3 linked regions of the Sus scrofa genome follow. The protein of the gene in region 1 purifies or fractionates together with the protein of each later gene. This does not show direct contact. Links are inferred from orthologs where the notes say so. Each region holds a gene or a part of one and is shown on either strand. Other genes may lie near its edges. The genes, in order: TONSL, MCM6 and ASF1A.

Region 1 (3,750 bases):
GGAGCTGCCTCGAGAGGTCACCACAAGGACTGGGAAGGCTGATTAAGGACCGCTTAGGGCAGAGAAGGACTGGCAGCATGGGGACCCCGCTGACTGCCCCCTACCAGGCCCTGAGGCCACACGGACTGCCCGCACTCCCACCTCATCGCCCCCACCCCGACACCCTGAGAAGCTCCTCCCAACGAGGTGGGGGGGCCCCATGTGGCTGTTGTCACCTCCCAAAAGACACACGCCCAGGCCTCCTCTGCTGAAGGAGGAGGGGAACTTCCTACCCCCTTTGAGGGGTTCAGCCCCCAGGGTCCCCTTTAGGCTCACCATACTTGAGGGTCCGGCAGACCACTGCCTTCTGCAAAGGCTTCTGGGAGCCAAGCCTATAGGCCTTCTTCAAGGCTCTCTTGGCAGCCAAAAAATCCCCAAGGTCTTGGAGGACCTGGGGGGGGGGAAGGGGAGGGAGGCTCGCAGGCTTCCGAAGGCCGGCCACCCACCCCCACCCCCCCCACCCCACCCCGGGAGCTGGGCCCGGAGCTGCCGGGAACCACTGGCACCTGCGAGATGAGCACGCAGCACTCGCTCTCCATGAAGCCCTGCTTCAGGAGGCGTGCGCACTCCCGGGCCCCCTCCAGGCAGCGCATGGCATCGGAGTGCTGCCCCTGACGCCAGTGGATGGCTCCCAGGTTGTAGCGGGCGCGAAAGAGGTCCTCGTAGAGGTGGTTCTGCCTGTGGGTGGGGACAGGCCCTCGTGCTGAGGCACTTGGCTTTGGGACAGCAGGGTGGGCACCGGAAGTGCCGATGTGCAACCTCTGATGCCATTTGGGATCCCAGCCCCCACGAAGCAGAGCCTGCTCTGGCCCCAGCCTGAGGCACAGACGTGCCAGGCTTCTATGCTAATAGGAAACTGCCAGGGGCAGAGGTGTGAGGTCAGCCCAGCCCCTTGCCCCTCGCTCCTCACCCCTCACAGCAGGGTCTGGGAGCAGCCTAGGGGGCAGCAGCTGCTTCCTCCAGGAACGGGGCGCTCGGCTCCCTCTAGGGGTCAAGTGAGGCCTTACTCAGCAAGAAAGATGCTCTTCTTCAAGTAGGCGCTGCACAGGGCGGCCTGCCGCAGGCTCTCGAAGGTGAGGCCCAGGTTGAGGTAGAGTCGGGTTCTCATCTCACTCAGCTCCCGCTTGGCCAGTGTCCCTGGAAGACATGCCTCCAGACACTCAGCACCTCGGCCCGCTGGGGCTCGCCAGCCTTAGGCCCTATCCAGCCTCTCGTAGGCACCAGGGGCTCTGCTGCAGTGTGGAGGGACAAAGAGCAGAGGCAGCCAGACCCCAGGCGGGGAGGAGCACAGGCCAGGCGTCCCCTCAGGGGGGTCCTGCCACACAGGGCAGGCAGGCGCTGGGGCTGAAGCCTCCTCTCCCCGCGGAGTTCGGGAGGTAGAAGGTGGGGAGAGCCAGGTCCCAAGGGCAGTCACCCTGAAGCTTCTCATCCACGATAGCCAAGCTTTTCTCGAAGGCCGCCTGCGCCTGCAGCAAGGCGTCCTCTGTCTGCTGGTGGTCATAGATGTCCAAGTGAGTGCGGCCAATGGTGGCCCAGGCCCTCTGTTGTTCAGTGTGGTTGGACAGGGAACGTGCCAGGTCCAGGTAGTGGTGCTGGTGCTGGGGCACAGAATGACCCCTGTGAGCCAAGCCCCACCTCAAGCAACCCACGCCTTCCCCAACTCCAGGGGGACGCCTAGAAGAGCTCTCCACTCCCCAAGCCCCCAGAGTATGCCACACACACCCGTTATCTCTTTGCCAAGGGCTGCCTGTGGGGACGGTAGCACCCCGCTCCAACCAGCCAGAGTCATCACCGGGGAGATGAGTGGGAGTTAGGGGGGCTGCTGCAGCCCCAGAAGCCAGGGACTAGGCAGCTCTGTGTAGAAAAAGTCAGGATTCCAACCAGCCCACAAACTCAGCTCCAGAAATATGTTCACGAGGGCTTTCTGCGGCCCGGCTGTGGTGTACCCATCCAAAGACCAGGCTGCCGTCGCCTGGCACAGGGTTCTCTGAAGGTGATGCCCAATGGTAGCGTGTCCCCCTCTCCCCAGGGGCCTGGACGGTGGAGGCTGTACTCCCTCCTCAGAAACGGACCCTCGGGCAACGCGGGCCCAGGAGACGCGGCCTCCACTCACCTGCAGGGCCTCGGTGAAGTTCTCCATCTCCGCCAGCCGCTCCCCAATCTTGCGGTGGGCCACCGCGCAGCCCAGGGGGTCGCCGGCGGTCTCCAGGAGCTGCAGCTCTTGCTGGTGCTCTCGCAAGGCTTCGGCGTATCGGCCTGGGCGGGCGGGGCACGTTCCAGTCTGGCCGGACAGGGGGCCACGGGCCGCGAGGGCCAGTGGGGCAGCGACCGGCCCTGGGCGGCACACTGAGCAGGCCCCCGCCCTGCCGCCTCCCCACCTCCGGCCCCTGGCCCCCCGGTCCTCCCGACGCCCCCCTCTCAGTCCCGGACTCCACCCCACGCACCATGGCTGGCCAGGAGCTCCCCTAGCTGGTGACAGAGATTAGCCTCCTCCCGCAGCTGCCCGCTCCTCTGCGCCTTAGCCTTGGCCTTGCTCAGCTCTGCAAAAAGAAGGACGAGGCCTGGATGCGGAGCCCCCCTGCCCGGGAGAGCCAGGCCCGCTCCCGGCCCCTGCGCTCGGGCGCTCGGCAGGGAACTCACGGCGAAGCTCGCGGTCTAGACTCATATTCCGGCAGCGGCGCCAGGGGCTCCAGACTTCCCGCGTTCTCGCGCCTTGGCGGCGGTCCCTCCCACTGGGGCGCCGCGCGCAGGCCCAGTCGGGCCTGCGGCCCGCGGAGCATCCTGGGAAGTGTAGTCCAGTCGTCCGAGGCATCCTGGGAGCTGTAGTCGTGCTGGCGCCTGGCCCGGAAGGGGGGCGCGGGGCGGGGCGAGATGGAGGGCGCCTCCCCAGATTCCTGGCACCGCCCCTCAGCCCGCAGCTGCCCTCGAGGTGGGAACTCCGGGGCTCCCACCCCTGCTGCCACTGTCCTGCCAGCCCGCAAACTTACCTGCCCGTGCGGCTTGATCTGCGGAGCGCACTGCCCTCGCGTGGGAGAAGAGGACGGAGTCTGGGACCGCAAGCACTTGAGTACTTGGCGTAATCAGAGGTGTCCCTGTCACAGAACCCGTGGAAGAGCCTCGAGCGCGCCACAGTCGTCACGTGTGGGGCTCCTACCTCCAGGGCCGGGGTCGGGGGTGGGGAGGGAAGGGGACTGTTTTCCAAAATGAACTGAGCAAAATGCTGCTTCCTCGATGTGCACGCCAGCCAGTTGTTTTCCTGGAAAACTCGGGAGTACAGCCTGCAAACCTGTTTTGTGCTGAGAGGGAAAAAGGAGCAGGAACGAAGCCCACAGCGCTCTAGCCGACTTCTCAGCGCAGGAGGACACGGGGGCCCCTGTGGTCGTGGGGCACCTGGCCTCAGAACTCGAATGCCTGTCCTGTCCTTTCCCCCACACCTTGAGAATCAAAGACCTGCCAGACCTTGGGGCTCTCAGTCCCTGGCCTGCCACGGGGCCCTGGGCACCCCGAAGGCCCCAGAGGAGGCCTGGAAGAAGTGGGCAATGGGCAGTTTTATTTTCTGTGGATATGGAAACAAACCCAGTGGGGTAAAACTCTCTGCCAGTGGAAGGGCAGCAAGGCCTGCTGTTGAGGGAGTAATAGGGAGGTTGGATGGGTGCCAGGTCCAGAGAAGGAGGAGCCACAGGAAGTGAGAAGTCGGCCACAGGTGGCCCT
Region 2 (3,650 bases), on another chromosome or scaffold:
CACAGATTATGCCATTGCCAGGCGAATAGTAGACTTGCATTCAAGAATTGAGGATTCAATTGATCGTGTCTATTCCCTTGATGATATCAGGAGGTATCTTCTTTTTGCAAGACAGTTTAAACCCAAGGTAACCTGCCTTTTTGAATTGTAATCAGGCATTATGAGTATGTGAAAGTTACATTTAAACAAAAGCATCACCTGGAAATTAACTGAACTTGACTTGTTCGGGTGTTTTTTTTAAAGTTATTTGTTTTTTTTCGTTTGATCTTGAGGGCTTTTTTTTGAGAACAGTTTTCTTCAGTGAGAGCTGAGAAAAGGGAATTTTTTAAAAGTGAAAAATTAACATTTCTTTTACTTGTTAGATGCCAGTAAAAAGATTTTTGTAAGTGAATGAACATGAATAACTATCTTACAGTAATTGATGTAGTTTATTGGATTCTGTGCTGGATCCAGAGTATTGAGTTGGACATTTGTTTCTGAAATAAACCTCTATAATGCCTTTTTTTTTTTTTTTTTTTAAGCATTTTGCTAAAGTAGAATCAAAAACTTTGATTCTCATTGAGGTTTTTACACTATTTCTGGCTTGACTTTTGGGAGTTATCCTTAGATTTTAATTCTCCAGCTCCTTCGCTTGGTTATCTAAAATAATCAGGATTGACTCTCATGTCCCAAGAGAAGCATCACTTTAATTTGCAGAGGCATTTGTTCTCCATCACTGTATGCTGGTCCTTCTGTTACCTTGGTCTGCTTCCTTAACATGCTTACTTCCTAGCTCTGAAAAACTTAGGATTCTTTAGTATGCCTCACTTTGTTATTCAGTAGATACTAAGCTTTATCAAAATATCTGGTGTGTATATATATATATAGCAGTTCCCTCATATCCACAGGGGATATATTTCAAGACCCTTAGTGGATGCCTTTGACCACAGATAGTACCAAATCCTATATATACTATTTTTTTCTTACACATACATGCCTGTGATAAAGCTTAATTTATAAATTAGGCACAATAAGAGAGTAACTGAATAGCTAACATCACTATTCTTGCACTTTGGGGCTTTTATTAAGTAAAATAAGGGTTACTTGAGCACAAACCCTTTGTTACTGTAACAGTTGATCTGGTAACCAAGATGGGTACTAAGTGACTAATAGGCAAGTAGTATATACAGCATGGATATACTGGAAAAAGAGATGATTCACACCCTGGGTGGGACATTGGGTGACATAAGATTTCACTATACTACTCAGAACAGTGCACAATTTAAAACATATAAATTGTTTATTTCTGGGATTTTCTATGTAATCTTTTCAAACTGCAGTTGATCATGAGTAACAGAAAATGGAGCTACAGATAAAGTGGGACTACTATTAATTATTGACTCCTCTTTTTCCCAAAAACTGCATAAGTTAATTAGCTGCTCAAGAATAGCCTGAATGGTAGCTTCTTTAATGAGCTTTGGCATCTTAGGTATACATGTCCTTTAGAAATGGTCATTTGCTTAAATACTAACTCTGCTGTCTCCCTGTTCATAAAATTAGTATATGGAATTCACAGTCCTAAGTATCAGTTTCTTTTAAAAGACATTTCAGTATTAATTCCTTGTCATTGGTTTCAAAGCTTTGACCCTCTCAGTTCCCCCAGAATATCTCCACCTGGGAAGCTCTTAAACTTATGTTTAAGTAAAAATGCTGACTTCATTGATGTTCTGACACAGATTTCTAAAGAGTCAGAGGACTTCATAGTGGAACAGTATAAACGCCTTCGCCAGAGGGATGGTTCTGGAGTAACCAAGTCTTCATGGAGGATTACAGTGCGACAGCTCGAGAGCATGATCCGTCTTTCTGAAGCAATGGCTCGGATGCACTGCTGTGATGAGGTATCAAAATCACTTCAACATAATAGAGAAATCATTTGTTGACTTATGTAAGCCAGCTTTGGTGTAGGACATACTAGCATTAGCTGCAGATTTTTTTTTTCCTTTTATTTATTTTTTTTATTTTATTTATTTATTTTTGTCTTTTGTTGTTGTTGTTGCTATTTCTTGGGCCGCTCCCGCGGCATATGGAGGTTCCCAGGCTAGGGGTTGAATCGGAGCTGTAGCCACCGGCCTACGCCAGAGCCACAGCAACGCAGGATCCGAGCCGCGTCTGCAACCTACACCACAGCTCACGGCAACGCCGGATCGTTAACCCACTGAGCAAGGGCAGGGACCGAACCTGCAACGTCATGGTTCCTAGTCGGATTCGTTAACCACTGCGCCACGATGGGAACTCCCAGATTTTTTTTTTTAATGTGACTGTTGATTGCTCATATGATACGTGACTGTGGGATTTTTCCCTTGTAGAAGGTTGCTGTCAAGCATTTAATGAATTTAATAGTTAGATTAATAGTAATGAAATGATCATAATGTAGATTATAGATAAATATATAGTAGTGAGTTCAAGATTAATGCCATTCGTTTGAGAGAAACTTGTTTAAACCCTACAACGCGCCAGGCCTCTGGACTGGGGATACAGGTAGAATGACGTAGCCCACATTCTCCTAAGGAGAGTTGTCTTCCTTAGGTTTGTATAATGTGTGGATATTAAATTGTTCTTCGAGCCCTGGGTTGTACAGTGGATATTTAGAGGAGTAAACAGGGAGCAGAGTGGAAGAACATTCATGCCCTCATTTCTGCTTCGAGCAAACCAGCTTACTTTTATCTAGCTTTATATTTTTGACAGTGTTAGATTTTGTTTGAGGAAAGAGTTTGGCTATTTTTCTTAATAGTACGATTGATGTATAATTCACATAGAGGAAAATGTACAGGTTTGACTTTTTACATACACCCTTGGGGCCACCCAACTCAGAATATAGAACATTTACATCATTCTAGAAAGTTTGCACCCTTCCCCAGAAGTAACCACCGTTCTGACTTCATTAACCATTTCTATTCCATAGGTTTTATTTTTTGGCTTTTTTTTCCTTTTTGTTTAATTTTTCTTTCTTTTTTTTTTTTGTTTATTTTTTCTAATTCTCTGATAATGGTGCTTTACTAATTATAAAATACTTTCGCCCTATGTGACTTATTATCAAGTCAAGAGTCAAAGATTATCTTTCGATTCTTCTGACATTTAATGGACATTTAATGAATAAACGAGCTCCTGTCTTCCATTACTGATAATTTGGTGAGAGCAAGACATGTTTAATTAGGCATATTAAATATGAGTGGGAGACTGAGCTATTACCAGCAAAGAGTACAGAGATTAGTGAATTTTTTCCCAAAGAAGGAGTATCTGGGGAGATACCACATTCAAACATGATCACTGAAAAGTATATAGAATTTTTTTTTTTAATTTTTAGAGCCATACCTGTGGCATATAGGAGGTTCCCAGGCTAGGGGTCCAGTCAGATCTATAGCTGCCAACCACAGCCATAGCCACTACCATGGTGGCATCAGATCTGAGCTGTGTCTACGGCCTATACCACAGCTCATGGCAACCTCTGATCCTTAACCCACTGAGTGGGGCCAGGGATCGAACCTGCAACCTCATGGTTCCTAGTCGGATTCTTTTCCACTGCACCATGACAGAAACTCCGAAAAGTGCATAGAATTTTGATAGCCTTTTTTTGGGTCTTTTTGCCATTTCTAGGCCCACTCCCGCAGCAT
Region 3 (3,650 bases), on another chromosome or scaffold:
ACTGCTCTCCCCCAGCTCTAGCCAATTTATACAGCAGCCATCTAAACCCAGATCCATTCCTATCCCTTCACCAGGTTTTAAAACCTCAGATTCTGAGATAAAAATTTCACTTCTTTAACGCTTCTAAGGCCCTTTACAACTGGTCTCCAACCAATACCACACCCCTTTTACGCCACATCTCTTCTTCTAGAAATGTAGGTTCTTTAAAATGTAGTGATAGTCTTTCCTGTCTAGCATATACTGTTCCCTTGGCCTGAAAGGTCCTTTCCTAACATTCTGAAAAATTCATCTTCTGAAGCTTTCATCAAATATATGCCTCTCGGCAAAACCCTTTCTAATTCAAAGGTATAATTAATAGCACTCTTTATGCACTCATATTACTTGACACAAATTCTCTACTAATGTATGTCTAACAATCTAAATATGTTACCCTTCAATCTTCTCTGAGATTCTAGGCTTTATCCTGGGCAGGAGTCCTATCCAGTTCATCTTTGTAATCACAAGTCTGGCATAGCTCTAGGGACAGAGTATTTGTATTCTGAAATTCATTCAGAACTCAGTTCCTACCCTGACATGGTTTATGACCTCTGGAGAGATACCAGAATGGGGACAGAGGGCCTGTCCTGAGAATATGCTATCTGTCTTTGGGTAGAGATGGGAAATAGAGTTAGTTCAGTACGGTGGGAACTTTCCCCCCATATTGCTTCCCATCTGCTCAACAAACTCGTCCGAGGCTTGTTTGTGTTTTAAAATTTGTTTGCTAAAGGATGCAGCTTGAGCAAATTCAAGGAGAGAATTTGCAGACGTCTCAGATCATTTAGGATGGAGAAGTGATAAGCAGAGATTTTTCACTCCAACAAGCAATACTAGTTAGATGTCCAGGCACCTTCCTGCTAGCCTCTTTACACACTCAGGAGAAACGCATGTTCATCCTGAGAGTTAAAGTCATGGAAGAATAGGAGAATACTATGGTAGTTTGTTTAAAAACATGAAACAAAAACTATTTTAGTCCCTTTCTGCTGATAATGGTGAATTTTAAAAAATGCATAAGCTGAACATATGATCTAAATCACACACAACTTCCTCTGTACTTTTGGCAACATCTGCACAGATACCAAGGTAAAAAAAATCACTGGAAAATCACCAGAGGGAAATAATTTTGAATAATATTTTTCCTACAACACTCCAAGGCAAAAGCTGAGGAGTATCCTTAAACACATAGAAGAGATTCTTTAAGGGCTTTTTCAAAAACATGGCATTTATTTGCAACACTTCTAGCAGCATCAAAAGGTATATCACTACATCCCCAATTAAGTTTCTTACATCATGAATTACTACCTGTGAATTACAGGTTCTCCAGGCTTGTGGGTCAAAGCAAATACTACTTCTTTATATAACAATTTCAGGACGCTAAAAGGGAGTTCCTGTCATGGAATGAATCCAACTAGGAAATTTGAGGTTGCACGTTCAATCCCTGGCCTTGCTCAGTGGGTTAGGGATCTGGTGTTGCTGTGAGCTGTGGTGCAGGTTGCAGACGCAGCTTGGATCTGGCATTGCTGTGGCTCTGGCGTAGGCCGGCAACTGTAGCTCCAGTTAGACCCCTAGCCTGGGAACCTCCATATGCCACGGGTGTGGCCCTAAAAGGACAAAAAGACAAAAAAGACCAAAAAAAAAAAAAAAAAAAAGAAGCAGCAGCAGCTAAAAGAATTTAAAAAAACCTTGGTTCTAATTATCGAAATAGGGCACTGTCTATCAGTGATTATACTTATCTGCCGGGTTCCTCTTTTAATCCTCCGAACACTGTTATGAGGTAGGATGCTATTCACATTTTATAAATGAGTGGAGAGAACAAGGGAGGTTGGAGCCTGTCTAAAGTCACACATGGCTAACAAGCAGCAGAGTGAGATGTGACTCAGGTCTACGACTGCAGTGCTTCCCCCCACCCAACAGGCATCCTCTGATAACCCGTCCTTCACCAAGATTATTCACTCTCACAACTCAGGCTAACTATGCTTTTAGTTAATATATTGGAGCCTTTTAGTAATGTTTAAGCTTTTCTTAATCATTTATTTAGATTTAATAAAAAGCACTAAGGATGGGAGACCAAGGTTCTGAATTCTATATTGAGGAGATGGGAGGGAGGGGCAGCAGCTGTAATGATACCATATATTTGAGTGATTCTTAGCCCATAGCTGGTGGGATTATGTGATCAACAGTATTCATTTAAACAGATCTCACCTGTGAAGTGAGAAAAGTGAGAGGTCAAGGATAGAAAAGTTAGATTTTCTTTCTGTGAGTCTTCTCAGTGAGCTCTACTTTAACCGATAGAACTCTGTTGGGTAGAAATACTTGTAACAAAATTAAGTTTTTTAAAAAGCTATGGCTAGTTACTCTTTGGACTATTATAAATATCTCCTAATAAACAGGGATAATGGAGAAGTGACGGAATAGTTTTATACAACAATTTGCCATGGATTAAAAGAAGTAATATTTTTGAATACAGAAGACAATGTCTGAAGCCTTGGCACAGACCTAAATACTATCAGTGGCATCTGAGAACACAATTGTATTAGTAGAATTTCTCCTCATGAATGACAGAGTTGTGTATTTGTAACAGGAATTCTCTATAAGAGGTGTAGATTTGATGCTTTAGTAGACCACTGGACTTCATTTAGTTCCAATGACCCATGATCTCGTAGATCTCTCTCTTCTAACATACCTGTTAACCTAACTGAACTACTGATTATGCTGTAATAAACTGTTGTTTTGTTATTATTCCTAGTGACTGATACTATAATTTGAAAGTGTAAATTACTACCTATACTAGTTAGTAGTAAGCATTTGGAATCCCTGTTTGGGGCCGCTGGACAGCCACCCTCAAGGTAGATATTCCCAGGAAGAGCCCGAAATTAACCATCATGTGTGCCATGACACAGTGTAAGGTTTACTGCATGCTGTGCAAACCCTGAAGTAAACATGACAATAACATCTCTCGGCACACAAAATAAGGAGGTGGCATTCCTTATGACCTAGAGACTTCTTAAAACAATGACAGAAGCAGATAAAAAGTGAATGCAGCAGAGCCAGTGATTTAACCCAAAAGGAGAGGGTTAAGGACCATTTAGAAATGTATTTTAACTTACATATTTACCAAGAATAATCTTACCTGAAATACAAACATATGCCTTCCTGCAGGAACAGGGCCCACTAAAACAGAGTCTAAAACTTGATCGTATTCTTCACTTTCTGCAGAACCCACATAGATAATTTTCCATTCCAGGTCTAGGGTTAAAAACCAAAACATTATTTCATATTCAGTAATTACAAGATGACATCAAAGACCCTTTGAATGTCCACTTAACCATACATCAGCTGTTAAAATTGGCTTCTCATAGCAGAAAATCGAAAGACACTGAAGTGCTCCTTATAAAATGCTTACATTTCATACCAGAGTTTCTCAGAATGCTGTTTTATGAAACACTGGTCCCTGGTCTGGGCTCCTCAGGAACAAAACAACAATGACCAAAAATTTGGGAAATGCTGCCACCTTCTCTTGAGGATTCATCAAGCACAATGGCAGAGCAAGTGGTCTGAGAAACCCTTCAGTAAAGACCATTGGTAACATTAATACAGTATTTCCCAAATTTATT

What was found.
Region 2: the proteins of TONSL (region 1) and MCM6 purify together in Homo sapiens (affinity purification with mass spectrometry; 3 studies listed by BioGRID and IntAct, with this or other methods). This does not show direct contact. The link is inferred for Sus scrofa from reciprocal best matches to the Homo sapiens genes TONSL and MCM6.
Region 3: the proteins of TONSL (region 1) and ASF1A purify together in Homo sapiens (affinity purification with mass spectrometry; 4 studies listed by BioGRID and IntAct, counting the BioPlex papers as one, with this or other methods). This does not show direct contact. The link is inferred for Sus scrofa from reciprocal best matches to the Homo sapiens genes TONSL and ASF1A.

The regions. Positions count from the first base shown.
Region 1 is NC_010446.5:349,028-352,777, reverse strand, and holds the start of TONSL (tonsoku-like protein), read right to left. Parts: upstream 2,787-3,750; 5' UTR 2,705-2,786; coding exon 2,680-2,704; intron 2,580-2,679; coding exon 2,484-2,579; intron 2,296-2,483; coding exon 2,153-2,295; intron 1,638-2,152; coding exon 1,454-1,637; intron 1,177-1,453; coding exon 1,047-1,176; intron 718-1,046; coding exon 546-717; intron 431-545; coding exon 316-430; intron 1-315. UniProt on the Homo sapiens protein: Component of the MMS22L-TONSL complex, a complex that promotes homologous recombination-mediated repair of double-strand breaks (DSBs) at stalled or collapsed replication forks.
Region 2 is NC_010457.5:15,951,126-15,954,775, forward strand, and holds part of MCM6 (DNA replication licensing factor MCM6), read left to right. Parts: coding exon 1-127; intron 128-1,715; coding exon 1,716-1,877; intron 1,878-3,650. UniProt on the Homo sapiens protein: Acts as a component of the MCM2-7 complex (MCM complex) which is the replicative helicase essential for 'once per cell cycle' DNA replication initiation and elongation in eukaryotic cells.
Region 3 is NC_010443.5:43,204,996-43,208,645, forward strand, and holds part of ASF1A (histone chaperone ASF1A), read right to left. Parts: intron 3,283-3,650; coding exon 3,167-3,282; intron 1-3,166. UniProt on the Homo sapiens protein: Histone chaperone that facilitates histone deposition and histone exchange and removal during nucleosome assembly and disassembly.